Linked DNA regions of Canis lupus familiaris. The protein of the gene in region 4 interacts with the protein of the main gene of each other region in a biochemical or structural test. Links are inferred from orthologs where the notes say so. Each region holds a gene or a part of one and is shown on either strand. Other genes may lie near its edges. The genes, in order: GABARAPL2, GABARAP, GABARAPL1 and KBTBD7.

Region 1 (8,239 bases), on a different chromosome or scaffold from region 4:
CTTTAAAAACAAAAACAGAACTCAGAATTTAGGAAGTAAAACTCCGGGACTTGCCTTGGTCTCTATTTCTAGAATCAGTATTTAATACTCACTAGTCTAAACAATAACCACATTTTACATGATCGCTTGTGTTCCAGAATACTCCGAAAGTCCCACTGCAAGGCAAGAATAACTGAAGTTACTTCAGCTCCACCTCCCACCTCTCAAGTGATCCTCACGCAAATCTGTCATAGGATGGGAGAAGCCTCCTTAGGCCTGGACTCATCCGTTCCAACTCTGATTTCCCCAGCCACTTTCTGAAGGCTGCAAGCACTGGTGGAAGGTTGAGGCCCCGCACTTCCTAAGGAGGCTGGAAGGAGCTGAGGAAGAGGCTGCTGTTAACGTGCCTTGGGGAGGAGATGGCAGGACTGAGTCACACATTAGCTTTAGCAGGAGACCCTGTGGCAGTTCCGTGTGTGCTGCTGTCAAGTGATCAGTATTTGCATAAGGCCCAGTGATGTCATATACCACTTTTGTTTAGAAACAAATTTTCTTAAAAAAACCAAATCGCTGTATTAAGTGTGGGGACAGAAAGTCATTAACTGGGGCCAAAGGCCCGGGCAGAGGAAGCCTGGTTAGCGATTCTCTAAAATCCTGACAGGGGTCACTGGTGTCATCTGCTTTAGGGCAGATTCTTACCAGGCTGGAAAGGCAAATGGGACTGGGAGAGAAAAGGAAGCAGCCTCTGCTGCCCTGAGAATTACTTTTGATTTCCAATTCTATTTATATCTCAGGGATAATGGAGGGAGGGGGCAGTTGCTAATCTGCAGCCATTTTAATTGCTAGATTAACATGAGGCCATCAGAGTAACAGTGTCTCCAGAAGCCTGCACATCTCCTTTAAGAAACATCAAAAGTGGGATGCCTAGGTGGCTCAGTGGTTGAGCGTCTGCCTTCGGCTGAGGCCATGATCCCAGAGTTCCGGGATGGAGTCCCACATCGGGCTCCCTGCGAGGAGCCTGCTCCTCCCTCTGCCTATGTCTCCGCCTTCTCTGTGTCTCTCATAAATAAATCAATAAAATCTTAAAAAAAAAAAAAAAAAAGGAAAAGGAAAAGAAAAATCAGAAGAATTGATCAAATAAATTCAAAGCCACAGGTCTTAGACACCTGCTTCCTTCCCTAAGAAGCCACTGCCAGGAAGGAGGAAACACAGAGTTACCCAGACTCTGCAGAAGCTGCAGGAGATGGAGTTAGCAGGAGACCCTGTGGCAGTTCTGTGTGTGCTGCTGTCAAGTGATCAGCAGTGTGATGACTGAAGATTCACCTCTCCACCACCTTAAGAGAAGCTGAGTTACGACTACAGATGCCCAGGGCTTCCTAACCTGATGAACCCAGCACCATGCTGCCTGGAGGTCGGGGAAGGAAGGCTGGAAGAGCCCCACCAGGTGTCAAGACCGCCTCTGCCAACACCACAGCTTCCTGAACAACAGCTATAGGAGACCAACAGCACCTAGCAGGCAGGCCAGGCGGATCTCCTCAGGCTGGACACTGACCTTACTGAAGAACCTTTCATTTTTCCCCAACCTCTCTGCCAAACACAGGAAATGGAGGTGGTGGAGATTAGGAAAGTAAATCAGATAAAAAAATAGCCAGAGCTATCTGTCATAGGAAAGGGACTAGATTTTGGCTTAGGTCTTTTCTGGAGCTTTCAAGGATTTTCAAAGGGAACATATTTTGGCCAAACTGGGATAGTTCCAGGGATTCTGAAAGCCTAAGCTTGCAGAAGTACTACCTTTAGGGGAGTAACCAATGAGACTTACTTGGAGTCTCCAAGATGAGATGTAGCCAGGAACTCACACTCGGGGGAGAGGGACTAGCATCTGGCTCAAGGGCTAATACTCAACCAGTAATGGCAAAGGACTGACCAGGAATTTTGAAGGAGCCAGTCCATTTTCTTTTTTCCACCAGGGACTAAAGCTGGGCTGTCAACTACACAGAAGAAGAGAATTATAATGCCCCAGAAGACTCGGGCCCCAAGTTATGCCAAAGAATGCTTCTAGGCAGCACAACAGCTAGAGCAAGGGGGGCGGTTACTCTGACAGTCGGAGCAGGTGCTACGAGGGGGGGTGTAAGTCTGTAAAGAGACCTCAGAGCCTTTTGCTGGACAGCAGCCATTCCAGCATACCTGAGGATCAGACAGCTACACACTCGCAGTGGCACAGAACTAAGTTTGGAGAGCAAGCAGGAGGATGATTAACTGAAGCTGAGCCTCAGCAGGGCCCACAAGCCCCTAGTGGAGAACGACAGGACTTATTTCATGGGTCATTTAAAGAAAACCTAATTTTAGGCTCATTTAGGTTCTAGTGATGGCTTAAGCCTAAGTAAATCCTGAACTGTTTTAAAGTATTCATCAGGGTCTGAGGCTAGATTTTTTTTTTTTTTTAAGTCCAACCTTGTTCTATTTTCTTAACCCAAAGTATATTCCCAGATACTGTAGCCCTTTCTTATTTTCCTTGAGCTCCTCATGTCAGGGAGCACAACATCCAGATTTCCAGTCAGGACCTCTAAGAGTTTTCTCACCTCCAAAGTTTAGAGTTCTGTAAGCAGCCAAGCAGGTGGCCAATGCTAGTAAACACTTCTCACCTGGACTGTGGGACTGTCTTATCCACAAACAGGAAGATTGCCTTTTCAGAAGGAAGCTGGATCCTTTTCCTGATGATCCACATGAACTGAGCCACAGTGATGTCAGATGGAACCAAATACTTCCGTTTGTCAATGTCGACAATCTGAGAGCCTGAGACTTTTTCCACAATCACCTGGGAAAGCAAAGAGAGATCAGGACTGGGTTTCTAAAGTGAGGCTCTGGCCTTGCATTGCCAGGGAGCTGATGAATACTATGTGGGCAAGGAGGTGGGTGGGAAACTGCACAACACTGGAAAATATGCCCCTGATTTAATAAACCACAAACTCTTAACTCTGGAGGTTAAGAACTGACATAAATGTATGATATGGAAACAGAAAGTGCTTTTCTGTGGTCAATTATGTTTATCATCCTGCATCTCAGCGAGCATAAGAGAAACACACGCCCTTACTACAAAGCTCTTCGACATTTTGTCTGGGCAGACCTGAGATACCTGGTTTCATCTACAGCCAGTTACTCCAAGACTCCAGAATGAATCTGCCTTCACACTACAGAGGAAGTAAGATCCCAAGGAACAAAGGGGAGAGGAATGGATGGACTAATGGGAATGAGTAAACCAAGCTCCTCATTTGGCCTGTTGCTTCTCCCTGAACTAGGTTTCAAATGTGTCCCTCCTAACCCCTCCTCAGAGTTTTGCTTGTTCAAACAAAGAGCTACAATAACAGACACGGATGTCCTCTAAAAATCAGTAAGAATTATAGAAACTTTACCCCTACCACGGAAGAAACAGGATCTTTATTACTGATTAAGGAGGAACCACGAAAGAAGGGAGTTCTCAGAGGCTTCTCAGATTTTTTTTGGTCAGCAAAGGATGACAGGGTCAGAGTGAGGAAAGGGAGCTAGAAATCAAGTAAAGACAGAGGCTCAAAGTTAAAGATGAGTGTCCTGAGACTAAAGTACCACTTCTAAGACCAAAGTGACAGTCTCCCTCCACCAGTGTTCCCAAAAGTGGCAGTGACCTGTTGCCCTGTCCTAGAACATCGTTCCTTACATAATTGGCGAGGGAGCCCAGAGGCTGCAGACAGCTCGCTGGCCTAGATCGGGAGATTCAGCACTGAGGCACCCTGAACAGCACCTGCTCAAGCCCCTCACGCCACGGCCCCCAAGGCCCCGAGCCCCGTCTGGCTTGTCTGCTCCTATAACTGGGACTGGAACCTCAACTTATCAACTGCTGAGTGGCCCGGGGCCCTATCGCGAGTCCTAGACGACGGGGTGACGACGAGGTGAGGGGGCGGGGAGTGCACTCACCGGAACGCGGTCGGGGTATTTCGCTCGGATCTTCGCGGATTCCACGCATCTGTGTTCTGTGGGAAACAGACGGGGCTGCCGGTCGCGCCTGCTCGTCCGCCGCTTCCCGCGCCCCCGACCCACCTCCCCCAGCGACCTGCGCACGCCCGGGTCCTTGTTACGGCGTCTCGGCGGCCTCGGTCCTCGGCCCCCGCCTCCCGGCAGGAGGGCAGAAGGCGGCACAGCGTCCGTGGGCAGCCGGCGGGGGCGCCGGGGCCTCCGCGACCCGAGGCCACAGCTCGGCATCCGCCCCGCCCGGCCCAGCCCAGGGCGGCCCGAGTGGGGGAGGGGGCCCACCCGCCGCCGCGACCCCCACCACCCGGCCTCTGACGGAGCCTTACCCAGCGAGTGGTCCTCCTTGAACATCCACTTCATGGCGACGGCGGGGAAGGGATGCAGCCGGCTCTCGGAGCCGCGGAGCTCAGCGAACCAACCACAACAACAACGACGGCAGCAGCGGCGGCGGCGACTACACGGCAGGCGGGACTTCCGGCTGCCGGAGCCTAGCAACCGGCCGGGGGCGGGGCTTCCGGCGCAGTTCGCCGGGACGCCGCGCCAGGGGGCGTGGCCACATTCAAAGGGGCGGGGCGAGCGGCGAGGCGGGGCGGGGCGAGGCGAGGCTACGAGGAAGTGGGGCTGATGACGTTGGCCACCCGGCAGTCCTGGAGGGGTTTCGGTGACGGGGAAGGGGATGCTGTCGGGAACTGCTAACAGGAACCGGGTCTCGGCGGACGTTGGTAACGGGAAGAGGAGTTTGGGGGTCTGGCTGATAGGATAGGGCGCTCAGAGGGCTTTTCATGAGGGAAGTCTCGGTGTCGGGAATTTTGGAGCATGAGTGACAGACGAGGGGTCTCTGATGGTCGATAATGGCGGGGTGGGGGAGATCTGTTTAGCGCATTGACAGTTTGGGGAGTATTGTTTGGAGTGGTAACAGGTTGGAGGGTGTGGCTAATTTGAGGGGCCTGTGTGGGGAGAGGTTCTGATGACAAGCCGGGGGTTCAGTATTGGAGACAGCCAAAACAGGTGGCCTTGGACCTAGAAATGGAATTTAAACAAAACCCTATTTCCTTCCTTTTTTCATGAATAAATAAACGTTTGACTAAACATGTAAGCACATGTATCACAAATAGACATTTGAGGAGCATAACATCTCACTGATCACAAAGAGACCCCTTAACCTTAACTACAGAGGACTTAGAGGTGACTGTCTGGCTGAGAGAATTCCCCTGAGAGTCATGAGACAAATTTCTTTGGCAGTCAGCATGGAGTTCAGCAATCACAGTCTAGGCTGTGCGTACGTGTGTCACCTGCCTGAGCATATGCCTTGAGTTCTCCAGTGATGTCACCTCTTTCTTCCTAGCAGAGTCATCAGGACAGTCTGCTCTGGGTCAACATCTGTTTACTAGCTGGTGAATATGTAACAAGAATATTCATTTAATTGGGCACATGATCCTTGTCATGTGCTTATGATTCTGATGCATCTGAAAGGATTGCATGTGTGAATATTGTCGTTCACCATTTCCCATAGTTGTAATTCCTGATGGATGCTGTGGAATCTAGCTTCATTCTAGAAGCATTTTGGTTATTTTAAGATTGTCTGAGCAACCAAAATAGGCTTTTGTTTGCTTGCTTGTTTTTAATGAAGTGAAAAGCCCTTTGAATTTCATACCTAGAAATTATTACTGCTGCATACAGGAGCACTGTTCTAGGTGTTGAGGAAAAGCAGTGAACAGAACATTCAGCTGTCAAGGAGTTTCTAGTGGGATAAGACAACAAATGTCAGGTAATGGTAGGCGCTGTTTAGAAAATAAAGCAGGGTTGGTGACGAGTGACAGTGGGGTAATGCTAATCAGGTAAAGTGGTTGGCATAATCAGGGACAGGAAGGAACCCCTTGTGGCTGGAGCTGAATTAGCAAGGGGGGGTATGTTAGAAGATGAGATCAAAGATATGTGTAACAAAGCTGTTGAGTTTTTTTTTTTTTTAAGATTATTTATTTATTCATGAGAGACAGAGAGAGAGAGAGGCAGAAACACAGGCAGAGGGAGTCGCAGGCTCCACACAGGGAGCCCGACGTGGGACTCGATCCCAGGTCTCCAGGATCAGGCCCTGGGCTGAAGGCAGTATTAAACCGCTGAGCCACCCGGGCTGCCCAGCTGTTGAGTTTTGAATTTCATGTGAAGAACTTTGGATGTTATTTAGAATGAAATGAGAAGTAGAGGATTTTAAGCAGAGGTGTGACATGGTATGGCTTTCCTTTTGAACTGAGCAGGCTAGCTTTTTTGTAGACAGACTCTAAGGGTTTGAGAATGGAAGTCAGGAAAACAATTAGGAAGCTATTGTGATAATCCAAGTGGAAGATGATGTTGGCCTAGACCAAGATAATGTCTGTGGGGATGGTGGGAAGCAATTATATTCTAGATATATTTTGAAGGTAGAGCCAACCAACAAAATTTGATGATAGATTGAATATGAAGTGTGAGGGACAAGTCAAAGTCAGAGTTTTTAGAAGGATGGAATTGCCATTTACTGAAATAGAGTGGAGCCAGTTGGGGAGGTGGGGATCAAGGTTTGGTTTTGGCTCTATTGAGTCTGAGATGCCCAAGGGACACATCCAAATGAAGATATATGGAGTAAGTGAATAGATCTATGAGTCTCAAATTCAAGAGAGAAGTATTTAAAGCTATTGAACTGATGAGATCAGCTAGAGAGTGAATGAAAAAACTGAAAATACCTATTTTGCAAATAGAATTAAACACTGAGGAATCAAAGTGGAAAGATCCCATAAGTCACCCCTTACAGGAGTGTAACCTGATGGTCTTCGTAAGGTGCAGTGTTTTTCTGTCTTCTATCTTTACTTACTTCTTTGATGTCTTTTTCCAGTTCACCATTCTAATTGGATTCTCTGATCTGCCCTGATGATATGCATCACCTTCTTTACCTATGGGGTCATTATACTAGCTTATTGAATGTTCTAAAGATACCGAATGCCTTCCTTGAGGGGGTGGCTAGTTGAAAAGATGACTCAGAAGAAAAAATAGGATAATTAAAGTATGCAGTTATATATTAACAGACTTATAAAATATGCAGAATAAATTTCAGATGTTGGAGAGGTCCTGCACTTGAATGCTGAAGGATGGTTAGGGCAATGGGGGCTGACACCAAACCAAGCGAGGCTTATCAAAAAAGACTAAACAGAGAATGTGAATCTTATGTGTCAGAGAGAAGTGTACATTTTTCAAAGGACAAACTTCGCTTAATAGACACAAAGACTGGGGTTAGAAGAGGGAACTGGGAAGCAATATAGACAAATGCTGGAAAGCCTTGATGTGAACATTCAGGCGTTCTGAACTGATTCGAGATACCCTGAATGGGAGCTTTTAGAAAGGAGTAGAACGTGATCAAAATGTGTAGTTTTAAGAGAACAACTCTCTTTGTCCTTAAAAGTAAATTCTATGAAGGTGCACCTAAGAGGCTCAGTAGGTATAGTGTCTGACTCTCGGTTCCGGCTCAGGTCATGAGCTCAGCATCCTGGGGTCAGGCTCCGCACTTAGCAGGGGAGTCTGCTTATTTCCCCCTCTCTGCCTCTCCCCGCCACTCACGTGCTCTCCTTCTCTCTAAAATAAATAAATCTTTTTTAAAAAGTAAATTTTATGAAACATGAAAAAATTATGGAAATGGAAACAGAGAAGTCAGTTCTCAGTTATGAATATATGACAATGACACAATATACACAGACCTTTAGCATTTTTAAAAACTAAAATTCCAAAAAAAAATAAAAAATAAAAATAAAAATAAAATTCCCTCTTAAAGAATCAAAATAAGACCACAAAGATTAGCTTCTTCAAATAATGGAAGCAAAGAGTAAGTATTAGTATCCATTATTATTAAATACTTTTGCAAAGCTCATGGCATCTCAGGGGAGGCACTTCACACACCTAAATTCTTAGGAATCACCACCTTGTTCTCAGCAGTGACTAAGCTGACACTAGCCACAGTATGTGTTTCCTTCTACTGAAAGAAGGAACTTTGAAGGCAAATGCCTCTTTCCTTGGTGTAGAGCTGCACTCAGGAGGTAACACTAGAACCATCGATTCCAGAATCTTATTTTAATGGTTATTCTTAAATTTTTAGTTCAGTGTAGTTAACATACAGTGGTGTATTAGTTTCAGGCATACAACATAGTGATCCAACAATTCCATATATTACTCAGGGCTCATCAAGATAAGCGCTCTCTTATATAAGTGTTTGGTGTCAGCCCCCCATTGCCCTTCA
Region 2 (7,873 bases), on a different chromosome or scaffold from region 4:
GACCTCTCCAGCATCGTCATCCTGGATAACTCCCCAGGGGCCTATAGGAGCCACCCAGGTATGCAAGAAGGCGGCCAGTCTGGCAGGACCGGCAAGTGGTTCTGAGGCAGCATTCTGAAAGCCAGGAGCCTGGGATTCCTGGTTTACTGTAGGTCAGGATGCAAGAGGTTTCTTTTACATGAGATGTCCCTCTTCCCTGATATACACCTTTCATAGGTCATGTTGCTCAGACCAAATTTGCTTCAGGTGAGACACAGGGGCAATGAGTTTGCCTAGAAGCCAGCCTCATGCTAATGTGAGATATGGTGATTTAAAATTAGTTTTATTTTGGAGGATGAATTAGGAAGGTTTCATTTAGGCTGCTGAGTTTGGGGGGGCGGGGGAGGAACCTATTTGAAAGCAATGATCCCCATTCCCAAATAAAAAGAAAAAAAAAAAAAAAGAAAAATCAGCTTGTCTCGAACTGTTTTTTCTCACGTGCATTTATTTTCATGTGTCCTAGACAATGCCATCCCCATCAAATCCTGGTTCAGTGACCCCAGCGACACCGCCCTTCTCAATCTGCTTCCAATGCTGGATGCCCTCAGGTAAGGGAAGCTAGACACTTAGGTTTCTGAGGAAAGGAGGTGGGGGATCCCAAGAGGGAATAAATATATGTCCTGTTTGACTTATTTATCTCTTTTCCCTTAAGAACTTAGCATTTGAACCCAGGCCTTCTTACAGTAAAGCTCATCACTTTTAGCCAGTGGGTTTTGGGCAAACTGGACCTCAGTTTCATGTGAGAAAGGTGATCATTTTGCCCCACATCTCCAATGAGGCTGCCTAACGCTAGTGTTTTGAGGACTCTACCAATGCAAGTTATTGTCGTCCCAGGTTCACCGCTGATGTTCGTTCTGTGCTGAGCCGAAACCTTCACCAACATCGGCTCTGGTGACAGCTGCTCCCCCTCCACCTGAGTTGGGGTGGGGGGGAAAGGGAGGGTGAGCACTCGGGATGCCGTCTGATGCCCTGTCCCATGGTGAGGACTGTCTGGGCAGGGTCTGCCCCTCCCGCCCCTCTCTGCCCTGGGAGCCCTGCACTCCACACGGAGTCTGGATGGACACATGGGTCAGACTCTGCAGCAGCCTCACTCTAACTTCGTGTTCGCACTCTCTGGAAACCCCAGACTGGGACATAAGCGGAGGCCCAGGAGAGTCCAAACTGTCTGGTGGAGACAGGACTGGCCAGAATGACACACAGACATTCGGTAATCCGGGAGGCTCAAAGAAAAGCCAAGCCAGCTTTGTTGTGATTTGATTTTTTAAAAACTCTTGTACAAAACTGATCTAATTCTTCACTCCAAGGGCTGGGCTGTGGGTGGGGAACTGGGATTTTGGGCCACTGGATTTTCCCCAAACTTGTCCCCCTGCCCCCAACCTTTCCCTCTACATTCCCTTCTTCCTATACTCTCAGACCTGTAACCGGCGCGCTCTCTTTTTCTTTCCTCTCTTTTAAACCATGCATTATAACTTTGAAACCAAAGCTGCCCTAGGTCCTTCTCTCAGGGTTGGGAAATGAGGGGAGGAGTCTTTGTTCACATCCACCCTGGCTCCCCAAAGCGGAGGCCGAGGCCCGAGGGTCAGGGAGCAGCGGTGCTGGCTCCGGAGGAAGGAGCAGGGAACGAGTCGACCTTTGGTGGGAAGGGTCTCGGCCGCAGGATGAGTGCCCTGGGTGGGGTCGGAGGGACAGCCGTGGGTCCCGGCGAACCAGAGCTGCAGGGCAGGAGGAAGCCGCGGTCCGTGAGCAGGCGCACCGACGTGGACGCAGAGAGTGCCCCGGCCCTCGGCCCCGCCCCCTCCCCTCCCGCCGGCGCCCCTCCCCCCGCGGCCGGCTCTACTTCCCGCGGCCGCCACGTGACGCTCCGCCCTTCTCTGAGATCACATGACTTTTCGTTGCTGCCAGTGCCGAAGGTGTTCCTCCGCGCTGACGTAGTCCCTACCTTTCGGACCTCCTCTCCGGTCCCCATTGGTCCACTCCTCCTGGGAACCTAGGCGTTCTGTGCGTTTCTGCGAATACCTGTTTCGTGTCTGCCCTCCTTTCTTCCCGGAGATCCAGCTTCTCCGTTTGGGTACTACTTTGTTTTGGAGTCAGCAGCCGCCTTCGGCGTACCGACGCGTTTCGTGAATAGCTGTCCTTAAAATTCTCTGCTTCCCCCCCTCCCCCTTTTCACCTTGTATCCGAAAAGACTTTTCGGAGCACCAAGCCTCAGAATACAATCGGCAGTTCCTAGCCCTTGTGGTGCCCAGCTCGGTGGGGCACGGCGGAATGTGGGTTTTCGGTTATTTTCGACCATAGCCCAGACCAACCACCTTGGCTACGTCGGCTGCGTAGCCCTCAAGCTGATTCCAAAGCGATTACGCAGGCAGCGTGAGGGGGGCGGTCAGTAGGTGGTGCTACGCCGGCGGCGTGAGGGCCGTTACGCTAGTAGCGTAACCCAGCGGGCGGGGCGGCCCCGACGGCCGGGGGCGGGGTTGGTGAATAGGGAAGTGGCGCAAGTCCCGGGATCGCTCCGCTGAGTCCGCCCGCGCGTCGCCGCCGTCGCCGCCGCCCCCCGTCCCGGCCCCCCCCCGGGTTCCCTCAGCCCAGCCCGGTCCAGCCCGGTTCCCGGGAGGATGAAGTTCGTGTATAAAGAAGAGCATCCGTTCGAGAAACGCCGCTCTGAGGGCGAGAAGATCAGAAAGAAATACCCGGACCGGGTTCCGGTGAGAACCATAGCCGGGGCCGCGGACGCGGGGCGCTGGCTCTGACGCCACAGCCCGGCTTGGGGTCCGGCGAGGCAGCGAGGGCATCGGGCTGCTGGCGGGGGTGGCCGGGGACCGGGCCAGGGGCTATCGTGTCCGGGAGCGGAGGTTGGAAGGAGCGGGGCGGCGAGGGAGCTGGGGGTGGGGGGCCGCGGCTGGCCGAGGGAGACGTGTGGAGTGCTGGGGAGGCTGCAGGGAGTTTGACAGTCGGGGCTTCCCATGGCCACCTCCCAGCTGGCCGGCTCGTCGAGGCCGACGCTGTCGTCGGCTCGCACGAGCCATGCCTGCCTAAGATCCTCGTTTATTATGACGCCCAGCCGGGGGATTCAGGATATCGAGGTGAGCCTGACGCTGCGGGGTCAGGATGCCTCTGCTTGAGGCTGCACCGCGTGTTCCCAGACAAAGAAAAACGAGTTGGATGGCTTGGGGTGCTAGCAGTTTTGTTTCTGGAGTTCTCGACGGGGTGACTGTGGGGCTGTCCCCCCTCGATGCTTCCTAATTTCCGTCTTTCTTTTTATAGGTGATAGTAGAAAAGGCTCCCAAAGCTCGGATAGGAGACCTGGACAAAAAAAAGTATCTGGTGCCTTCTGATCTCACAGGTGGGAACCTGACCCAGGACCCAGGTTTGCTGCCTGTGCGTGGGGGTGCAGTGTCGGTGGGAAAATGCTGCCTCCCCGTAGTGACTGCTCTTCTGAGGCCTTTTTTGATCCCTGTGACTTTATCGTATCTTGTCTCTTTGGCAGTTGGTCAGTTCTACTTCTTGATCCGGAAGCGAATTCATCTCCGAGCTGAGGATGCCTTGTTTTTCTTTGTCAACAACGTCATTCCACCCACCAGTGCCACAATGGGTCAGCTATACCAGGTATGGTGACTGGGAAGGAGTCAGGGGCTCCGCAGAGGTGTTGGAAGAGATTTTCAGGTCAGCAGTTCTTGGACTAGCTGGCTGGCTCTCAGTTTTACGTGTGACCTCAAAATTTTGAGGGTAGTCCCAGGTTGAGGGCTTGGATAAAGGTATTGGGAATAGAGGTGAGAACTACAGCAGTGCTTTGGATCCACCCTCTTGTCCACTTTCCCCACCATCCCAAGGCAGCAGATTTTGTGATCATGGTATCTCCCCTGCCAGGTAAGTATAAGGCAGCAGATTTTGGAACAGTTTGAGATCTTTTTGCCCAGGACTGCTGCCAGCGGTAATCTTGTTGGCTGCTAAGGCCTGGAGCAAATGAGTGAGTATGAGTCAGGGCACTAGCGTTTGGGGGTCTTCAGAAAGAACGGGCTTTCCAAAAAACGTGTCTGGGCAGTGGGTGGTTCACGTGCCCACAGCCCCGACGTCTGAGTGCCATAGTTTTCTGCCTCCATCCAGGAACACCACGAAGAAGACTTCTTTCTATACATCGCCTACAGTGATGAAAGCGTCTACGGTCTGTGAAGCTGCTGCCCCTGACGTGGGGGGGGGTCCGGTTCTACAAAGACAGAGGTGGCCCCCATCCTCGACCTACTCCTTCTTTGGGCTCATCCCTCACCTCCCTTTGTTGGGACCTGCACTTCCTAATGTTTGAGGCTCTCCTCCAGCCCTTCTCAGCAGGAGGGCTCATGGGGGAGGTGGCTTCTTGGACCTCTCCTTTCTCCCCTTCCTCTTCGACCTTTCCCACTCTGCTCTAGACTTCTTGATTGTCCGTCTCTGTCACATCCGGTGATTGTTTTGGTTTCTGTTCCCTAACTGCCCAAGGGGCTCAGAACCCCAACATTCCCTTCCTCTCATTACCTTCATTTTTGGGGGTAGAGGGAAGGGACTGAAATTGTTGGGGGGAAGGCAGGAGGCACATCAATAAAGAGGAAACCACCAAGCTGAACTGGATTTTACTTTGTGTTGCTTCCCGCCCCTTTTTTCCTAGTTGTCCTCTGGTGGGGAGAGTGGAGGTTGGAGGGGCAGTAATCCTACATTCTGGTTTATTCTGTTGATATTGGGTTACTGCTTGCGCAAAAGTATTTTTGTTGTGATCGAATACTCCCAAGTATCAGGTCATGAAACTATACTTTTATATACTTGTGTATTGGGTCCCAATGTAAAAAATACAGTGGCTTTTGTTTTTTTACTTTGGGTTCCTGGGGAGAAAGTAAGTATCCACTTTAGATAAATGCACCCAAGTTTGTTACAGCTTTTGGATGAAAGAAGAGATTTTCGTGCGTGGGAGCCAGTCAGAGGACTCTGTCCTGGGTTGCATCTCACTTGACCAGACTTGGTGCCAGTGGGTGGAATTCAAGGGAGCGAGAAGGGAGCCATTATCATCAGGAGAACTTCATCCCCCAGCAAGCATTTCTCCGCCTGGCCGGAAGTGGGGCGGTCCCCCGGGGGAGAAAGCAGCCGCAGAATGAGGCAGTATGGTGGCCGAGAGTTCTAATCCCTTCTTTTCCTTCTTTCTTAGTCCCGCCCAGCCTACATTTCCCAGGAGCCTGCGCGCGCTCTTCCGCTCTGCCCTCTGCTCCCAATCTCCCCGCCACTCCCCGGGGGAGGGGAGCGGTTTAGTGCGCCTGCGCTGTTCCTTGGCTTGCTGGGAAGTGAAGTTCCAGAGGCCTATGCGATCCCTTTTCCGCTGGCCCCGGACGGACTACAAGCCCCATGATGCATTGTGCGTCGGCGCCCGCCGAAGGGAGGGGGTAGAGAGGAGGGAGGAGGGAGGAGAGAGGAGGAGGAGGAGGGAGCAGGCGGCCGGCGGCGCGGGGGGAGGGGGCCCGGTCCGGGAGTGCGGGAGGCAGGGGTAGAGGGAGGTGGCGGCAGCGGCTAGCGGACTCGAGTCATAACCGGGCCGAGGCAGACACCTCTGTGGAGAGAGGCAGTAGGAGCACCGAGCACCGGAGGCGGCACCGGGATCCCCGGCTTAAGGGGAGGGGGGCGCCGGACCGGGAGGAGGGGAGGGGGCGATGCTGGAAGCCATGGCGGAGCCCAGTCCCGAAGGTGAGCTCTCGACCGGCACGGAGCGCTGAGCCGGTGGGGGGGGGGGGGGCGGGCGAGGAATCAATTGGCAAACTTGGAGGTCGAGCCCCGAAGCCCGGCGGGGGAGCGCGGGGAGGGGGTCGAGGGCCTGCCCCTGGAGCTGGGAGAGCGACGAGTTGAGAGACCTTGGTGAAAGAGGAGTGGGAGACCGGGCTGGGGGTAGTTGGAGATGAGACACCGAGAATGTGTGTGTTGGGGGGGTGGGGAGTGGGAGCCGGAGCTCCGGGGGTTAGGGGCCGAGAGGGCCTCCAGCACGTTGGGGCCTTGAGGCCGGGAGGTTGGGGGGGATCGGGAGCCCGAGAGTTGTTGAGGAGGGAGGATGTAGAGGAGGACTGAGTGAGGAGCCCGGTAGTTGGCCGAGGTGGGGGAGTTTGTGGCGGCGGTGCCGGAGCTCCGGGTAGTTGCCGCTGGAGGTGGCCGGGTGATTGTTGGAGGGCCGGGCAGAGAGTTGTGGGGAGAAGAGGGGGTCTGGGTATTGTCTGCGCTAGGGAGACCTGGACAGGGCGGGTAGTTGTGGGGACAGAACGCCGGGGAGCGAGGAGAGCCGGGTAGTTGTAGGGGCGGTGGGGCGGTGGGGCGGGGTGCGGGGGGGGGTGTTCAGACCGGCGAGTTGGGGGGGGGTGTTGGTCGGCGAGGGCTGGAGCCTGAGAGTTGCGGAGGGTGAGGGGGGCAGCGGCGGCGGCAGCGGCGGGGGTTGCCGTGGAGGGAGAGAGTAGCGGGGGGGGGGAGTGGGCGGCCAGAGTTTAGGGGTCCGCAGCCTAGTCATTTGGTGGTGAGTACGGGGGCGGAGGGGGGGCGGCGGCCGGAGGGCTAGGAACTGGGCCCGGGGGCCCGGCGGGGAGCCCGAGGAGCTCGAGACGGGGAGGGGCCAAAGCCCCGGATGGGGGCGGAGGGACGGCGAAATTGTGGGGAGCGCGGTCGGAGGGGGCAGGTGGGGCCGTCCGAGCCAGAGCTCTCCGGTCCGTCCCGGCCGCAGAGTGGCGTTGGATGTGTGTGCCTGTGTGTGTTGGGAGGGGGGTGGGGGTGAGGGGCGCGCCGGGCCTCGTGCTCGGGCAGAAGGGGCCGGAGGGCGGGGAGCGGTTCGGCGTGGTCATCCTGGACCCTGGGGGCCGGCGGGCTGCGTGTGCGGGCTCCGAGGGCCCCGGGCGGCGGATCGCAGCCGGGCGGGAGCGCGAGGCGCTGGGCGCGTGGGAAGGGCAGGGCAGGCGGCGGCCGGGGCTCGGTCCGGGGAGCGGTATGGCGGGGTGGGGCGCCAAGAGATCGAGTAGACTGTGGAGTCGAGAGAAACCGTGAGTTGGGGGGGCGGGGCGCCAGGCCTCCGGTGGGGGGAAGGGGAGCGCTATAGCGAGGCCGGGGAGGGCGCCGCGCCCTGACTCCGCCCCTCGCAGGGCGGAAGGGGGAGCAGGGGCGGGTCCAGCACAGCTGGGGACCTGCCGGCCTGGCGGGGGGTACCGGAGGCGAGAGGGGGTTCGGTTCGCTTGGGACTTTCAAGATTTAGAGCTGGGGCTTCGCACGGACTCTGCTGGTGCCTTGACTCAGCTTTTATTGCTTTCCCAGATCCACCTCCGACCCTGAAGCCAGAAACTCAGGTGAGCTTTCCTTTACCTTTGCAGGCCGGTATTACTGTCGGTGGCCCTCCCTCCCTCTTCCTCCTCCTCCTCCTCCTGCTGGTTCTAGATCGCCTACCACAGGGATTGTGCCTTCTTCGGGAAGGTCCCTCTTAAATTCCTTGTGATACAGGTTTCCTTCCTTTCAGCCTCCAGAGAAACGTCGGAGAACAATTGAAGATTTCAACAAATTCTGCAGTTTTGTCTTGGCTTATGCCGGTTACATCCCCCCTAGTAAAGAGGTAGGGACTGGGGGACAACAAGCTGAGGGGTGGTGGGCTAGGACCTTGGAAGGGTGCGAAGCAACCGGGACTGCTTTCCTTGATAGGAGAAATCTACCACATGTGAAATGGGTAACTGGTGGGAAAAATGCCCTAGGGGGTGGTTTTAATGAGATAGGTGGGTTGAGTAGCAGTGAATGGCCTAGGGATGGGGGGTGTTCATGAAGAGCCTTCTCATGCCTTTAAGGAAGCTGAAAGTGGTTCACAAATGGG
Region 3 (6,968 bases), on a different chromosome or scaffold from region 4:
TTGTGACAGTGAAATAAGAAACCATTAATGTATCAATCAGGACAATAGGAATGATTCAAGGCTATCCTAGGGAAACAGATCTAGGCTCATATGACATGCTAGTATTTGAGATCTTTCTACCAAAATATAGCAAAGGACTCACTCATCTCTGCTACTGAGGCATACTGGACTCCAAGGGAATGGGCTTTTTGACACATCATTCAACCTTGGTCTCCAGAAGAAAGTATCAGGTAAGTCGATCTTACCTGGGACATGAGGCCAAGGTTAATGAAAAGGCGTTTCCAAAAGTGTTTATAGAGTTCAAGACTGACACAACTGCCTGATGACACAGAGCAGCTTTAAAGCTTCCCTAGCAGGAAACCAGAAGACACACTTGAGAGATATGGTTCACAAAAGAGCATCAGACACAGCACTCAAGTATCTGGTCTGGCTCTGCACTTAGCTGTTATTCAGCTTTATGGACCTATAAAATTAGAAGAGGGCTGGTCTAAAATGGCATGAAATGTCCCACGCAAGGAGCAATTTTTCCTACCAGGAATATCCAGAGATAAGGAGGACTGGCATAAAAGGCTGCCTCAGGGAGAACCTCCAAACTAACTACTACTTTGATTTAGCAATGGCCCGGGTCTCCTGCACTCACTACAGGGACGGTTTCCAATTTGTATAGAGATCTGGGATCTGCCATGTATTTGTTTGCTTTTAAACATTCACTGAATCTCATTCCTCGCTAGTGGGTTAAGTCTTTTAGTTTCATAATATAGTTTGTATCTTAATTCAAATATTAGCTTCCATTTGATTTTGGCAGAGACAATGCCCCAATGTTTTTCTGTCAGTAGTGACAGGTGTCCATTTTTAAGTCTTTTTTGTCAAAATCCAAATTCCTTAGAGTCTCCCATAATTCTCTGCATGTTGTGTTTGCCGGGCTTGGACTTCTTCCTTTCCTCTGAATCCTGACTTAACTTTCTCAACCAGTACACACTGGACATGGTTTGGTGGTGGGTGAAATCTTGCCATCTTTTGTAACTACCTGTTTCTGTCTGTCTGGTGACTGTCATATAGTCCATAAAAGTCTACAAAGGTAGATTCCACTTGGACACACAGCTGCAAGAGATTAAAGAGAATTAGACATGACTTTTAAGGTCAAAAAAGGAGTTTCCACTACTTTGGTTTTTTATCATCTTATAACCTGTACCCCCACTGCCCATCCACATTTTGCTTCCAAATGAATGAATGAAAAACTCTCATATGGTCAGAAGACACCAAGCTTGTTCTGACCTCAGGAGCCTTACGTATGTGCCAGTTGCTGCTCTGGGAGATGGTGGCCTCACACCAACCACAATGTGGCAGACAGAATAGGTTTGGTTGGCACTCAAAACAAAACCAGGTATTGAGAGCAATGCCTCTCCACCTTCGGCATGCAGCAGAATCAGGAGGAGCTGGTTAACACCACAGACACCTACGCTGAGAATGACTCAGCTAAATGTAGGATGAAACCCAGACATCTGCATTTTTAATAACTACACCCCCGCCTTACCCCTTATAGTCTCACCCAGGCAGTGTTCCATCTTCAGCTTTGAGAAACACACAAACCAATGACAAAGCATTTATCTGTGGAGCAGAAAATCACACACGTATCACCAACACACCAGGCATGCTACCCCACCACGCTCACCTTTGAATAACAACTCGTGGTAAGTAAAGAGGTTTACTTAAACCTCTATACATCTGACATACGTGAGCATCCATTTCTAACAGCCACCCTCACTCAGTTTTCTGCTCAGAGTCCACACACCACCTATTCTACAGTACAGTCAATAAAAGCAACATTTCTGAACTCATGGTTGGTTTTCAAGGTATGCAATTATTTTATTTCCTTGGCCTGACAGCATAAACTTCATTACACAAGAATCTGCAGCTGACAAAACGGACACAGATTTCTCCCACAGGAAGGACCCTTTTCATTAGCAGAGATGAACTGAAATGTCACGTCTGAGTGCGATTCCTGCTCCCCGCCCCCACCCACATAACCCCAAAAGTGAAAATAATCAGAATCCATAGAATCCCCATTTAGTATTAAGTCATTCCCTCACACTTGTCTAACTAGCAGCTGCACTACATGGAAACCTAAGTCAGGAGGCAGCTGGCCATCACTTAGCAGATCTGTGTGCCTGGGACTGAAGAGGCGGGAACAAGGGAACAAGAATCCTGGCTGAGGCAGAGGCATAGACAAGCTGTCTTACCTCATACCTGCCCCCCTTCCATACATAGGACATCTCTGTCCCTACACATGGAGCAAAGTTTGGGAAATGCTGAAGGAGGTTTTAGCCCATAATGGGAAATGGTTGTCCTCACTGAGGTGTGGGATAAGGGGCACCAGAGAGAGAGCAGGTTAGACAGAGATGCTCAACATAGTCAATTCCAGTTTAATGCTACCAAAACGATCTTAATAGCCAAACTATCCTTCATGCCTGGCCCCTGTATTCCAGTGGTGAGAACGCTCCATCTAAATATCTGCCTAATGGCTATCCGGACCACTAGGTGGTGCTGTGGTGTCTGTAAGTGGAATTATGACAGGGATGGGGAGGTGTGGAGCTAGGTCAAGGTCACAACGCTTTAATTACAATGGGTCTCTTTTGGTCCCTAGGAATGATCTACTACTCGTGGTCCTAAGACATCCTCATCCCTTTCCCTACCTGTCTTCTGCAAATGTCAAAAATAGAATCTCTGCCCGAAGAGGAAGGAGAGCAGGAAGTTACTGGTGGTCTGCAATCATCTCTGGCCCCATCTTGCCCACCTCCTGCCTCTTCTGTGAAGTCACACAGAAATTAATTCACAGAAATGCTGTGACATTAAATCATCTTCATTCCTCTATCAAAGCCAATCCAACACCTCTGTCCTGACATGCTTTCTCCCTGGGCCGAGGAAGCAGCAAAAATTATCAATTGAGCATGTGAAAATATGATGACGGTGTGTGCGGTGTAGTGTTTCCAGATGTCTTCCCCTTCTGTCTCCTCCACGGTGGGAGCCCTCCCTCTCTTTCCCCAAGTCCCACACACACCCCTCCCCCTACCCCCGAGTCCAGGTGCTCCCATCTGCTGGGCTTCCACCACTCACTTCCCATAGACACTCTCGTCACTGTAGGCCACATACAGAAAATAGTCTTCCTCATGGTTGTCCTGAGGGAGGAAACAAGAGGAAACATCATACTCATTACCTTCAGGATTCTGAGCCTCACACAAGGTAAGCAGGTTTTGCAAGGCATCATTAGCCTCCACTGACCAAAAAATAAGAATACACAGAAGTGACTGGAATTCAACTTCTGAGTTCACAAAAAATCTTCAAGAAGAGTATCGATACGTACAAACATCAGGGATAACAACATGACCCTTTAAAAAGCTCATTCTAGCAAAAGGGAACACAGATACTATATATATACTATATATATATATATCAGAATATACACTAACAGGAAATATATGCTATGGAATAAAAATAAGATTGAGAGATTGTTAGAAAGTTTACACAATTCACTAACTCACAGGGCACAATAAGAAGGCAGTACAATGTAAAATCCTTTAAGGAAGAATATAGCCACAAAACTGGGTGACAGAGCATGACCGAGTCCTTTCCAATAGTCTTCTCATTAGATTCTGACAGCTTACCAATTAAACCAAATGAAATCAGCAAATTATTCTCTCCAACTGAGTTTATCTGTTAAGACAAATGAATCAATTTAAAGGCTTTGCCTTATAATTTTAAATTTCATTTTATTTGGAATTTGCAATCAGAAACAATTTCTTACTGTTTCAATAAAGATGATCCAAGATTAGAACCCTAGAATAAGGCAAAACTGAAAGCTCAAAGAGAATGAATCTAGTAGTCAGCTCAATCCCTAAAGGACAAGTGACATTTAATCTCTCAGAGCCTTACACTGCTGTGTGTAAGTGGATACAGGGAAGTAACACCTCCTGCCCCACTTCCCAGGTGTGTTATCAACAGACTCCAGAACAAAGGCTAGAGAACACGAGACTACACAGTATTGTCGTGACCAGAACACTTACCTCATACAGCTGGCCCATGGTAGCACTAGTGGGAGGGATGGTGTTGTTGACAAAGAAGAATAAGGCATCCTCAGGCCTCAGGTGGATCCTCTTCCGGATTAAGAAGTAGAACTGGCCAACTGGATAAAGGAAGAAGGTTTTAGAAAAGGAAGGCAATTAGGGAAGACAAGGGATTATGAGAAGGGGAAGGCCCAGAAAAGAAAAAAAAATCTGCTGCACCTGCTCCACCGCTTAAAGTGCCAGCTTTAGAGAAAATCTCAGCAGAACCAAATACAGTCCTATAGCTGTAGAAATAGAAAATGCAACTCTAATAAGCCTCCATATTCCCAGACAGGCCACTAAGAAGCTTATTCTCCAATCCTTTCCCTCTTTACTCAGTTTTAAACTTAATGTTAGCTTATCCACTCAAAATCTGATGACTTTGAGGGAATCCTATGTACATCGAGACCAAAATACTCTTCTTATCATTCTCCCAAGGGGATCTGAAATGCACTTCCATCCTCATTCCCACCTTATGACAAACCAGTGATGTGGAGAGGTCTACTGGACTCCAGTAATCTCAGCATGGTCGCCCATCCCAAAGTCCAGGCAATGAGTGGGGTTCAATGCTGTACCTTCTACCAAGCATACTGAGAAGTTCTAGAAGGCTGACATTCAAATCTAACAACTCTAAGGCAAACACATCTACAAAACCTTTCCAGTGATTTGTATAACCACTGGTTATTCCATTAAAGATCACTAAGGTGAAGAATTAATATATTATCTGTAATCGCAAACAGTATCTACAAGACATATTATCAAAAACCATAGCTTGAGAGGACAAAGTATTCAGCTGAAAATCTAAAATGTGATCCTCCCTCTGACTTTCCTTTTGGAATAAACTGGTATCACAATAACAAAGCAGATTCTAAGTGGTTTAAAAATGTGGGCATCTGGTCATTGCTTTGCAACGATGTGGATTCTACCGTGTCTAAACCACACAAGATATTGTGATGGAAAATGTGTAAGGGAACTGGCAATTGGGAAGATCATCTGGCTATGTTTGAGTCCCCCAAGTCTCTGAAGAATCCTACCCACATCAACTCTACTTCGTCTCAATCCCCCAAGCTCATGCACACAGGAGGGACCAACGAGGCTCTGCCATAGAGGGAGGATTTAGAGAGGGAAAGAGCATTACCAGTGAGGTCAGAGGGCACCAAGTACTTCCTCTTGTCCAGATCGGGCACCCTGGCTTTAGGAGCCTTCTCCACAATCACCTGGGCGGGAGGAGAATGAGAATGAAAAATACAGAATCTAATCTAGTATTTTTCCTTCCACATCCTACAACTGCCATATTTGAAGTATGTTTGTCTAGACCCAATAAAATGTTCCCATTTCTCATTTCCTTTTATCTTACAAAACCAAAGGGTACATGATCTTCATCAGTAAGGCTGTAGTTCTATTACTGCAATAAGAAGAAAATGGAGGGCATGAGATGAAAAGTAAAGAGAACCTTGATTTAAATAATTACAAGTTACCTCCCAGGTATAGGATCTATACTTCCTGGTATTTACTGAGAGCATCAAAAGGACTGTGCATTTCTTCAGATGCTCCTACGTACCTACTGGTTTTATTCTTTCTAATGAATGGCATTAATTAAAGTTATGGATAAAATGGGATTTACATTTTGTACTTTGTCGAACTTCTCTAGAGTGACTGCAAAAAAATGTTCAAGGCACTGTCTTATTAAGTCAAAGAAAGTACTGAATAGTACTTAGAGTATGAGATCCTGTAACGTGAAGTCACTTATGATAACCTATTTATCAATATTGGTTGGTGTTATAAGGATTTTCAATGTCTACATTAAATATGTCTATGATCAAATTTTTTTTTAAAGATTTTTATTTATTTATTCATGGAAGACACAGAGAGAGAATGAGAGACAGAGGCAGAGACACAGGCAGAGGGGGAAGCAGGCTCCATGCACCGGGAGCCCGACGTGGGATTCGATCCCGGGTCTCCAGGATCGCGCCCTGGGCCAAAGGCAGGCGCCAAACCGCTGCGCCACCCAGGGATCCCCTCTATGATCAAATTTTATAAGGATCATATATTTCTCTAATGAAAAGAAAAAAGAAAAAAAGAAGATATATAAAAATTAAAGACTTTATGCATAAAGTTTCAAATATTAATTTAAACAACATATCTTTAAGAAATAATTATAAAAATATACTTAGTATTTATAATTTATGTAACTTAACTGAAATTATAAATATTTAAAATCTTTTGTAGGGCACCAGGGTGACCCAGTGGTTGAGCATCTACCTTTGGTTCATGATCCCAGGGTCCTGGGATCAAGGCCTGCATCAGGCTCCCTGTGGGAAGCCTGTTTCTCCCTCTGCCTATGTCTCTGCCCCTCTCAGGAATAAATAAAATCTTAAAAAAAAAAAAAAATACAATCATTCTTGATCAAACACACAGAAAATCTAGAAGAGTTACAGAAGTAGAAGTAACACTAGACAAGTATCCCAGGGAACTTTGTGATCTTCAACAGGTCATTTAACTTCTTTGAACTACAGCATTCCGGTGAGTAATAGGAAGATGAAACTTTCCAATATATCTTCTACAGTCATGGTACTCCTACAGTAACTTTGAGTAATCCATAAAATTTTATGTGAAAATGTTTTGTAAATTATGAAGAATTATCTTAATAAAAGGAACGATTTAAGAGGAGAGACTTGGAGGCTTGAAGCTTTTAAATGAAAGGGAACACATAAAAGGAGTAAAAAACATTATTTTGTGTTTCTGGAGAAAAAGAATCCTGAACCAGGAAGACTGAAGGGACATGATCCCTCTAAAAATTTAGAAGTGAAAACCAGAAAAAAAAATACGTGAATCAGAAATTTAAAAGAAAAAGTAGGAAGAAGTTCA
Region 4 (8,018 bases):
GCGGTTTAGCGCCTGCCTTTGGCCCAGGGCGTGATCTTGGAGTCCCAGGATCGAGTCCCACATTGGGCTCCCTGCATGGAGCCTGCTTCTCCCTCTGCCTCTCTGTCTCTCTCTGTGTGTCTCTATGAATAAATAAATAAAATCTTAAAAAAAAAAGTCCTACAAACAATATTATATTGAGCATTTGCTAAAAGGTGTGTCAACTAATTGTAAAACTGAGACAAAGCTGCTTTCCTGTCAAGAAGGGATTTCAACACTGCCAGTTTTGTCACTCACTGCACAAGCAAGGGTTTTATGCATTTAGCAGAAATGCTAAATTAAGAGGTCAGAAGGCCTGGGTTCTAGTGCTATTTTTATTTGTAACTAACCATATACAAATCACTTCTCTATAAAATAATGGTTAACATCTATTCCCTAATTCACAAATATGTCATGAAACCAAATTCTTCCTCAAGAAACTTCTCTGTAAACCACATTACTGTTAATTAGCTTATACTTAAAGGATGAAAATGACAAACTGCAGAATCTGTCTTTTGTCAATCAGTTGCATACCTTAATTCTGCAGATGGATAATCTGGTTGAGGTCAGCACTATCCTATTTCAACCTTACAATACAAAAAACTTATCAACAAGAAGTTATTGGTGAAGAAAAGGTGGCCAAAAATATAACACTATCAAGAAACAGCTTTCTAAGTTGAGACCAGTGCTTATAACATCCCTGATACCGAATGGAACAAAAGTTAGTCTTATGGCTACTAAAGCATGTTTGCTGTTTTGAGGGAACACATTCTTAAGAACACATGGCTAGAGTAAGAATCTTATTTCACTAGAAATAATGTTAAACGGGAATGTCTTATGGAGTCTTCAGATGTCCAATCAAATGGCTATGACAGCATCTGTGTACTTGTTTTTTTTATTGTTTGTTTATTTTTTTTTAATTTATTTATTTATTTATTTATTTATTTATTTATTTATTTATTTATTTATTTATTTTCTCTCTCTCTTTTTTAAATTCAAGATTCAGTTCCCGATCCTGGGGCACAGTCCTCAGTACTCTGACATGGTATAAGAAATGTTAGTGTTAGTGTTCGGTCACTAGAGAATAGACATATGTAAGAGGAATTAACGTTTTGAACAAAGATGCAAAATGAGGATTCTAAGTCAGTTTAGAAAAATTTATAACCTGTAAGTATCTATATATATATATATGTACACCATTTATCATGGATGTGTTTTGTGACAATCATATGTATTAACAGACCCTTAAAAAGGTAAGTATCTCTGTTTCTCAGTATTTAACGGTATCAGTTTTGTGTGACTCAGTCTCTAGTTCTGGACTTTCCCTTACTTTATAGTGACACAAAAACAAACAAAAAGACAAACAAAAACAAAAACAAAACCCCACAAAGCCCGGAGCATGGTTCACAGAGAAATACAGAACAGATACAAATACCCTAATAAAATAACCATGTATACCATTGCTAGGGAAATATTTTACAGGAAATAAACTTTCCCTATTGGCCCCAAATGGCATCATCCAGTTATGTTCTTTAGATGTCAACTTTTAATACAAAAATACCTTCGGGATGATAATCATATACAGTGACTTACAAAACTCAACAGAACATTTCAATGCTACACAAAACAGTTCCATACACAGCCTGAAGTTTTAAAGGTCTCTGCTGGCATTTAATTTTATAGTTGATGGACAGTGACTGACCTCAATAAAATACTCTTTTCAGCTTAAACATATTTTCAAAACCAGTATTACCTCACAAAAGCAGTAAAGAATATATCACTTCCTGCTGAAGAATCCTCTAAGATGAAAACCGAAACTATACAGCCAAAAATATTTTACGAAAGCATATACACTGTTTAAGACTAGTCATGACCAATGGATAAACATTTACATTACTCAATCACATGTCCAGTGAAAAAAAGGATCGTTCCTTTTGATTCAATGAAGCGTGTATCAGGTATAGATGAAAAATATGATCTTACAAAGCAAGTTACCTTTTTTCTTTTGGTTTAGAAGGGTGTTTAAATAATTGATGACACTACTAGAATGAATGTTTTTTAAGACAGAAAAATGGCCGCACTCAGGAAATACATGTTATATTCCAAAATTGAAAGTGAAATTTCTTTTAAAGCAGTGGAGTCTTGATTTTTTTTTTTTTTTTTTTTTTTTTTACTTTCTGTGAGCTCTTAAGACCATTCTGCACATTATCAAAATGAAATCCCTATTTGGATGGATGTATATATTTATATATATATATATATATATATAACCAATTTTTTTTCTTTGCAGAAGGGGAGAAAACCACACCAAATTTAACAAACGATAGAAACGATAGTAACTTATAATACTAGAAACTGGCTAGTTCAAAATTTGGGAAATCTACTACTTTCATTATTCTAAAAGAAAATACAACCTTCAAAACCCTACCAACAATTTCTAGTTCAATTTTCTACTATAAAAATTAAAAAGTTAAATTCCTTGTGGCACTAAGTTGAATTAAAACGTTAACAGAAGACAAACGTAGATAATCAAAATATAAACAGTGTAAACTAACCAAAACAATCCACTGGTGCAACAAATACTCGAACAACCAAGAAACCACCAAGCATTCTAATCAGTTACATAGTTTGTTTTTGCATATTTTAATCTTGACTTTTAGCATAATAAATTATCATATAGGTTGATTTCATGGACTGTTTAACTTTGTAACATTACATTAGTAATTCAAATGTTACCCTTTCTAAACCAAATCTGCAGTCCTAATCAACATTTTTTTTTTCATGAAAAGGAAGGGATATCTTTTAAAGATACATTCCATAGAAGTAGAAACATCTTAGTGCTTCAAAATATTTACAAAGAACCCTGATGATCCTGTGCATTTCCCTGAGGTGCCACCTGCACCCAGACTTCATCATCGGAAAAAGAACTTGAACTTCCTGACTCCGAGTCCAGCTCACTGAATCCATCTAAGTCCCATTCAGTACTAGACTCACTCCGTGCATCATCTTCCTCAGTGATAAAACTCTGTCCAGGTTCAAGGCAGGAAGGATAAACACGAGCACAGAGGCAAATAAAGCCAGAGTCAAACTGCAAAAGACCTAACATGGTACCTATATTAATCCACTGGTCTTCCCTAGTATCGTATTCATAAACAGTCACCCGGTTTTTTTTCCACTGAGGGGTGGTAGAAGTAATGAGGAGCAACTTTTGGCCATGATTGACAATCTGGTAGTTGTGGGTCTCTGAGTCCAAGGGGATATTACTAATCCGCCTCCATTCTCCCCTGGCTGGGTTGTAGACCTTCATGACCGGGATGTCGCAGATACAGTAGATCTCATCATTGAAGACACAGGCTTCCTGAAAGTCACTACGTTTAAGAGAAGCACAGTTCAGCCATGTATTGTGGCCCGGGTCATAGTAGAGCATGCGCTTACTGTTCACAGCATAAAGATAGTTCTGAACCACTATTAGTTCAAACGAATAGAAGGAATGGGGTACAGGAGCCACCAGTGCCCACTGGTTTCTCTGGACACTGTAGCACTCCACTTCCTTCAGTTTAACACCGGTAATGGGGTCTCGCCCACCCAAAATGTAGATGTAGCCATTGAGGTAGGCCACATCCATGCCCTCCCGGCACAGCAGGCGGTCGGCCAGCTGCTGCCAACTATTCTGGGCTGGCTTGTACACCCAGAGGTCCTTCCTGGGCTGCGCGGCCAGGTAGATGTCATGGTCTGGAGAGACGCAGACAGCTGAGGAAGTGACAGTCTTGGTGTGAGCCAAGCTGGTTAAAGGGGATGGCATGGTGTAAATGTCCCCTGAGTATGGGTCGTAGCACAGAAAGGGATCTCGGGGATGTCCAAAGAAGATCACCATCTCCTTGGCACACATACCCAGCCTCTGGGGTGGGTTTTCTGCTGTGGGCACAACACAGCTGCTGCTGCTATCTGGTTTGGGCACCAGAGCCTTGCACAGCTTGTCACCATAGCGCATCTGCAGGGCCCCCTCGATAAGGTCCAGACAGTACTTTTTCACAATGGGCTTGGTCAGCAGCCCCTCCAGGTAATCCTGATCCTCTTCTCTGAAGTGTGTCCAGCGGACACACTTGAAGACTTCCGCAGCGCTGGGTCCGCGCTCCTTGGGAGCCGCCTCCAGCCACTGCACGGCCACGTGACACACGGTCCGCTCGCTCTCGATGTCTAGACTATCCAGGCGCAGGATGGACAGCAGCTGGGCCAAGCTCAGATCCGCCAGGCTCTCCTCCCTTACTGAGCCCATCCGGCTGAGCTGCCTGAAATTGTGGGCTATGAAGGACTGGGCCTGGGATCGCAGCTTATGATGGTCGAAGGCGTCGGCGAACTTGAGGATGGCGGTGCAGTTGGCCAGGTCGAGGCGGCGGGCCAGGAAGGAGGCGCAGGCCTCCCGCACGTACTCGAGCTGCAGCATGTCGGAGGCCGCGTACAGGCGCTGCACGTTGGCCTCGCTCAGCGACACGCGGCCCGTGTAGCAGTAGTCGACCAGCACCTCGAAGGACTCGGCGTCCACGTCGTGCATGGTCACGTTCGCCTGGTGGCTCTCGTACATGCCGCCCGTGAACATGCTCTTGAAGTAGGGACACGCGGCCGCCAGCACGTTCCGGTTGCAGGGGAAGAGGCGGCCGGTGCCGGGCCCGCTGCCGGGCGTCACCACCTCGATGGTCACGTCGCACAGCAGCCGCGCGTCGTAGAAGGACTTGAGCTGCGCCAGGAGGGCTGCGGAGTGAGCCGCGTCCTTCAGCTCCTCCGGGCCCGTGAAGAAAGCCGAGACCGAGGGCTTGGAGATCCTCTTGGGCCGCCTGCCGCCGCGGGGACTGGCCAGGCGGCGGGGGCGCGGAGCCTCTTCCCGGGACTGCATGGTGGAGATGGCGGCGGGGTACGAGGGCGAGAACGGGTGCACGGACCGGGCGCGGGCTCCTCCTCGCCCTCTCCTCGCCTTCTCCCTGAAGAGACTGCAGGGGCCGCACTTACCCAACTCAGCCCCGCGCCGCGGTGCCGCCTCCCTTTATCGCGTAGCCAGCGCCTGACTCACCCGCTTCCAGTTCCGCGCCCTTTTCTCCGCCTCAGCTCGCCTTACAGAACCCGGCTGGACGGAACCGAGAGAGCCGCCACTGCCGCGCTGGCAATACCGGTAGGCGTCCAGCGGAACTACGGCTCCCAGGCTGCCTTTCGCGCCCCGAGGCATGCCGGGGCCCCTCCAGACTCCAGGGGATCGGCGGGCGGGCCGGAGCCGCTGTGCACGCTGGGAGTGGTAGTTCGAGGAATATCGCGAGGTTTCTCCGGGCGGGCGGACTTTTAGCTGACAGAATTCGAAAAAGCGTTAATCTGGGTTTGTTGGTTTTAGAGCTTTGGCTTTGATGTTCTTTTTTATTTAAAAAAAAAAAAAATCTCCGTTTTGGTATTGGTCTTCTCTCTGAGAACTTTCCCCTCTTTGTAAAGCGGGGGATACGAGTTTTCATAGGATTATGTGAGAGTGGGAGCGAGGTGGATTTGCGCAGGTCCCAGGATGCTTCAGCGAATACCTGCTGATTAATCACATGCTTGCAAGTGCCTGGAATATACAGATTCAGCCACTGGTGGCGTCTCCCAATGCGTTTTTAAAAATGTGCCCGCGTGCGAAGCCGTGAGCGATTTGTGTGAGGAATCTTAATTTTACTGTTGCTTCTTTTGAAGGGTTCTTCTGAAGGCTACCACCATCTTTTCAGAACTAAATGAGATCCACAGGTTCGTTAGGGTGTCGTGGACAAGGATGAGGTCCTGGCGAACAGCGTTGAGAGGTGGCCTCCGACGTGCGGCTCAGGCCTCCGACGTGCGGCTCAGGCCTCTGACATACAGCTCAGGCCTCTAACAGGCAGCTCAGGCACATGCATAGCTGGGCTGACCTCTCACCAAATCAATATTTACGCAGGGGGAGCAGGATTACTTTCATAAGCTTTTTTTTCTTTTTTTTTAAATTAAGATTTTTATTTACTTATTAGAGAGAGAATGCACAAGCAGGGGAGTGACAGGCAGAGGGGGAGGGAGATTACAGGCTCCCTGCTGATAGGGCCGGATCCCAGGACCCCGGGCAGGCGCCTAACCGGCTGAGCCACCCAGAAGCCCTTTCGTAACCTTTTAGCAGGAATGTTTTGGTCTAATACTGCTCGTTTCCCTTCCTCTCCACAAATCAGCCTAAGATTATGTAGTTATCTTTATCAAGGAGATAAAAACGGGAGTTGTAGATTAAAAGATTTAAACAAACAGACCTCAGAGCTCTGTATTCATGCATGCCCCAGTTTTTTTTTTTTTGTTTTTGTTTTTTTTTTTAAGATTTTATTTATTCATGAGACACACACACACAGAGAGAAGCAGGCTCCATGCAGGAAGCCCAATGTAGGACTCAATCCTGGGTCTCCAGGATCAGGCCCTGGGCCAAAGGCAGCGCTAAACTGCTGAGCCCCCTGGGTTATCCAGTATTTTTTTTTTAAGATTTTATTTATTTATTCATGATAGACATAGAGACACAGGCAGAGGGAGAAGCAGGCTCCATGCAGGGAGCCCGACGCGGGACTCGATCCTGGGACTCCAGTAGGCGCCCTGGGCCAAAGGCAGGCGCTAAACAACCTAGCCACCCAGGGATCTGGACCCCCCCCCCCTTTTTATTAAAGATTTTATTTGCCCAGTATTTTGAATTAATATAGTTCAATCTATGCTTTACAAAAGTGTTCTCTATATGTACTGATCCACATTCTTCGTTAAATCATCAATATCAAGTGCTTAGAGATTGAGTTTTGTGTTAAGGGAACTTTTACTTCAAAAATCATGTTGCTCTTGCCACTGGCTTGTCATGCGTTAGCATAATTTCGTGAAATCTTTAGTAGTAGGTTGGTGGGTAGAGAACTCAGGGCAGGGGAGTAACTCAAATTGTTCTGCTCTCCTTTCCTATTCACTGAAGACCTTCTACTGGAAATACTCCAGGGTAGAGAAACATTATTAAGCAGGGCACTGAGCTCTAATATCTCCTCTGTACCTTTGTTGGGTATCCTTCAGATATACTTGAGAGAATTGGACCATTACTGATTGCTTTCAATCAGTATTGCACTAAAACAGCTGGGAGAAAAAAAACAATAATTTTTTTGTTTTTAATGCTGGCAACATATACAGTTACTATTTTAAACAATTCTTTAAGACAGTTGTTTAGATTCTCTGGCATTAAGTACATTCACCTTGTTTTGCAACCATCACCACCACCTATCTCCAGAGCTCTTTTCATCTTGCAGAACTGAAGCTTTGTACCCATTCACAGTAACTCTCCTTTCCCCCCTTCCCCCAACTCCCTAGTAACCACCATTCTACTTTCTGTCTTTTTGAATTTGACTACCTTAGGAACTGCATATCACTTCAGTGATTTTTTAACTTCCTTATATCTGCCCTTTGTTAGTTGGTTTAGATTACCTTTTACACAATCCAAAAGTATTTAGTACGCAGTGCCCTAAGGTCTTGAGCAGTGCTGCCGCAGAAATTTGTGATCCTGTGAACATTTTATGTTTGTGCTGATTGAGGAGGAGGTAGCCAGAAGCCACAGGTAGCTCTTAAGTACTTCAAATGTGGCTAGTTCAGCTGAGGAACTGAACTTAAAATTTTAGAAACCCAGCATTGTTATCACTGCAATTCATTGTGGAGAGGAAGCTCTGTTCGACAAATGGTGTCGAACAACCAGTTCACAATGTAAAAAAAGAAAAAAGAAAAAAAATAATTTTGACTCTTAGCTTATACCACACACACAAAATTAATTCTAAATGGATCTCAATATTAAACAAAGAAATGAAAACTATAACGTTTCTAAAAGAAAACCTAGACTATCTCTGCTTCTTTCTTCTGGATCTTAGGATACAAAAAACACTAATCATAAAACAAAAAACTATAAAATGAACTTAAAACTACAAGCTTTTGCCTTTCAAAAGGCAGTGAAAAAAAGACAAGCCACA

Evidence for each region.
Region 1: the proteins of KBTBD7 (region 4) and GABARAPL2 form a complex in vitro, tested with the Homo sapiens proteins (2 studies listed by BioGRID and IntAct, with this or other methods). The link is inferred for Canis lupus familiaris from reciprocal best matches to the Homo sapiens genes KBTBD7 and GABARAPL2.
Region 2: the proteins of KBTBD7 (region 4) and GABARAP form a complex in vitro, tested with the Homo sapiens proteins (2 studies listed by BioGRID and IntAct, with this or other methods). The link is inferred for Canis lupus familiaris from reciprocal best matches to the Homo sapiens genes KBTBD7 and GABARAP.
Region 3: the proteins of KBTBD7 (region 4) and GABARAPL1 form a complex in vitro, tested with the Homo sapiens proteins (2 studies listed by BioGRID and IntAct, with this or other methods). The link is inferred for Canis lupus familiaris from reciprocal best matches to the Homo sapiens genes KBTBD7 and GABARAPL1.

What each region holds. Positions count from the first base shown.
Region 1 is NC_049226.1:75,812,915-75,821,153, forward strand, and holds the start of GABARAPL2 (gamma-aminobutyric acid receptor-associated protein-like 2), read right to left. Parts: upstream 4,957-8,239; 5' UTR 4,342-4,956; coding exon 4,308-4,341; intron 3,984-4,307; coding exon 3,928-3,983; intron 2,795-3,927; coding exon 2,622-2,794; intron 1-2,621. UniProt on the Homo sapiens protein: Ubiquitin-like modifier involved in intra-Golgi traffic. Modulates intra-Golgi transport through coupling between NSF activity and SNAREs activation. It first stimulates the ATPase activity of NSF which in turn stimulates the association with GOSR1.
Region 2 is NC_049226.1:32,411,548-32,419,420, reverse strand, and holds GABARAP (gamma-aminobutyric acid receptor-associated protein), read left to right. Parts: upstream 1-2,532; 5' UTR 2,533-2,651; coding exon 2,652-2,741; intron 2,742-3,300; coding exon 3,301-3,379; intron 3,380-3,523; coding exon 3,524-3,642; intron 3,643-4,140; coding exon 4,141-4,206; 3' UTR 4,207-4,630; downstream 4,631-7,873. Other genes in the region: CTDNEP1 (CTD nuclear envelope phosphatase 1), read left to right, coding at 1-58, 503-587, 874-934; PHF23 (PHD finger protein 23), read left to right, coding at 5,700-5,733, 7,330-7,361, 7,529-7,621. UniProt on the Homo sapiens protein: Ubiquitin-like modifier that plays a role in intracellular transport of GABA(A) receptors and its interaction with the cytoskeleton.
Region 3 is NC_049248.1:10,356,770-10,363,737, reverse strand, and holds the end of GABARAPL1 (gamma-aminobutyric acid receptor-associated protein-like 1), read right to left. Parts: intron 5,318-6,968; coding exon 5,239-5,317; intron 4,181-5,238; coding exon 4,062-4,180; intron 3,177-4,061; coding exon 3,111-3,176; 3' UTR 1,842-3,110; downstream 1-1,841. UniProt on the Homo sapiens protein: Ubiquitin-like modifier that increases cell-surface expression of kappa-type opioid receptor through facilitating anterograde intracellular trafficking of the receptor. Involved in formation of autophagosomal vacuoles.
Region 4 is NC_049243.1:9,371,172-9,379,189, reverse strand, and holds KBTBD7 (kelch repeat and BTB domain-containing protein 7), read right to left. Parts: upstream 5,193-8,018; 5' UTR 4,910-5,192; coding exon 2,870-4,909; 3' UTR 1,162-2,869; downstream 1-1,161. UniProt on the Homo sapiens protein: As part of the CUL3(KBTBD6/7) E3 ubiquitin ligase complex functions as a substrate adapter for the RAC1 guanine exchange factor (GEF) TIAM1, mediating its 'Lys-48' ubiquitination and proteasomal degradation.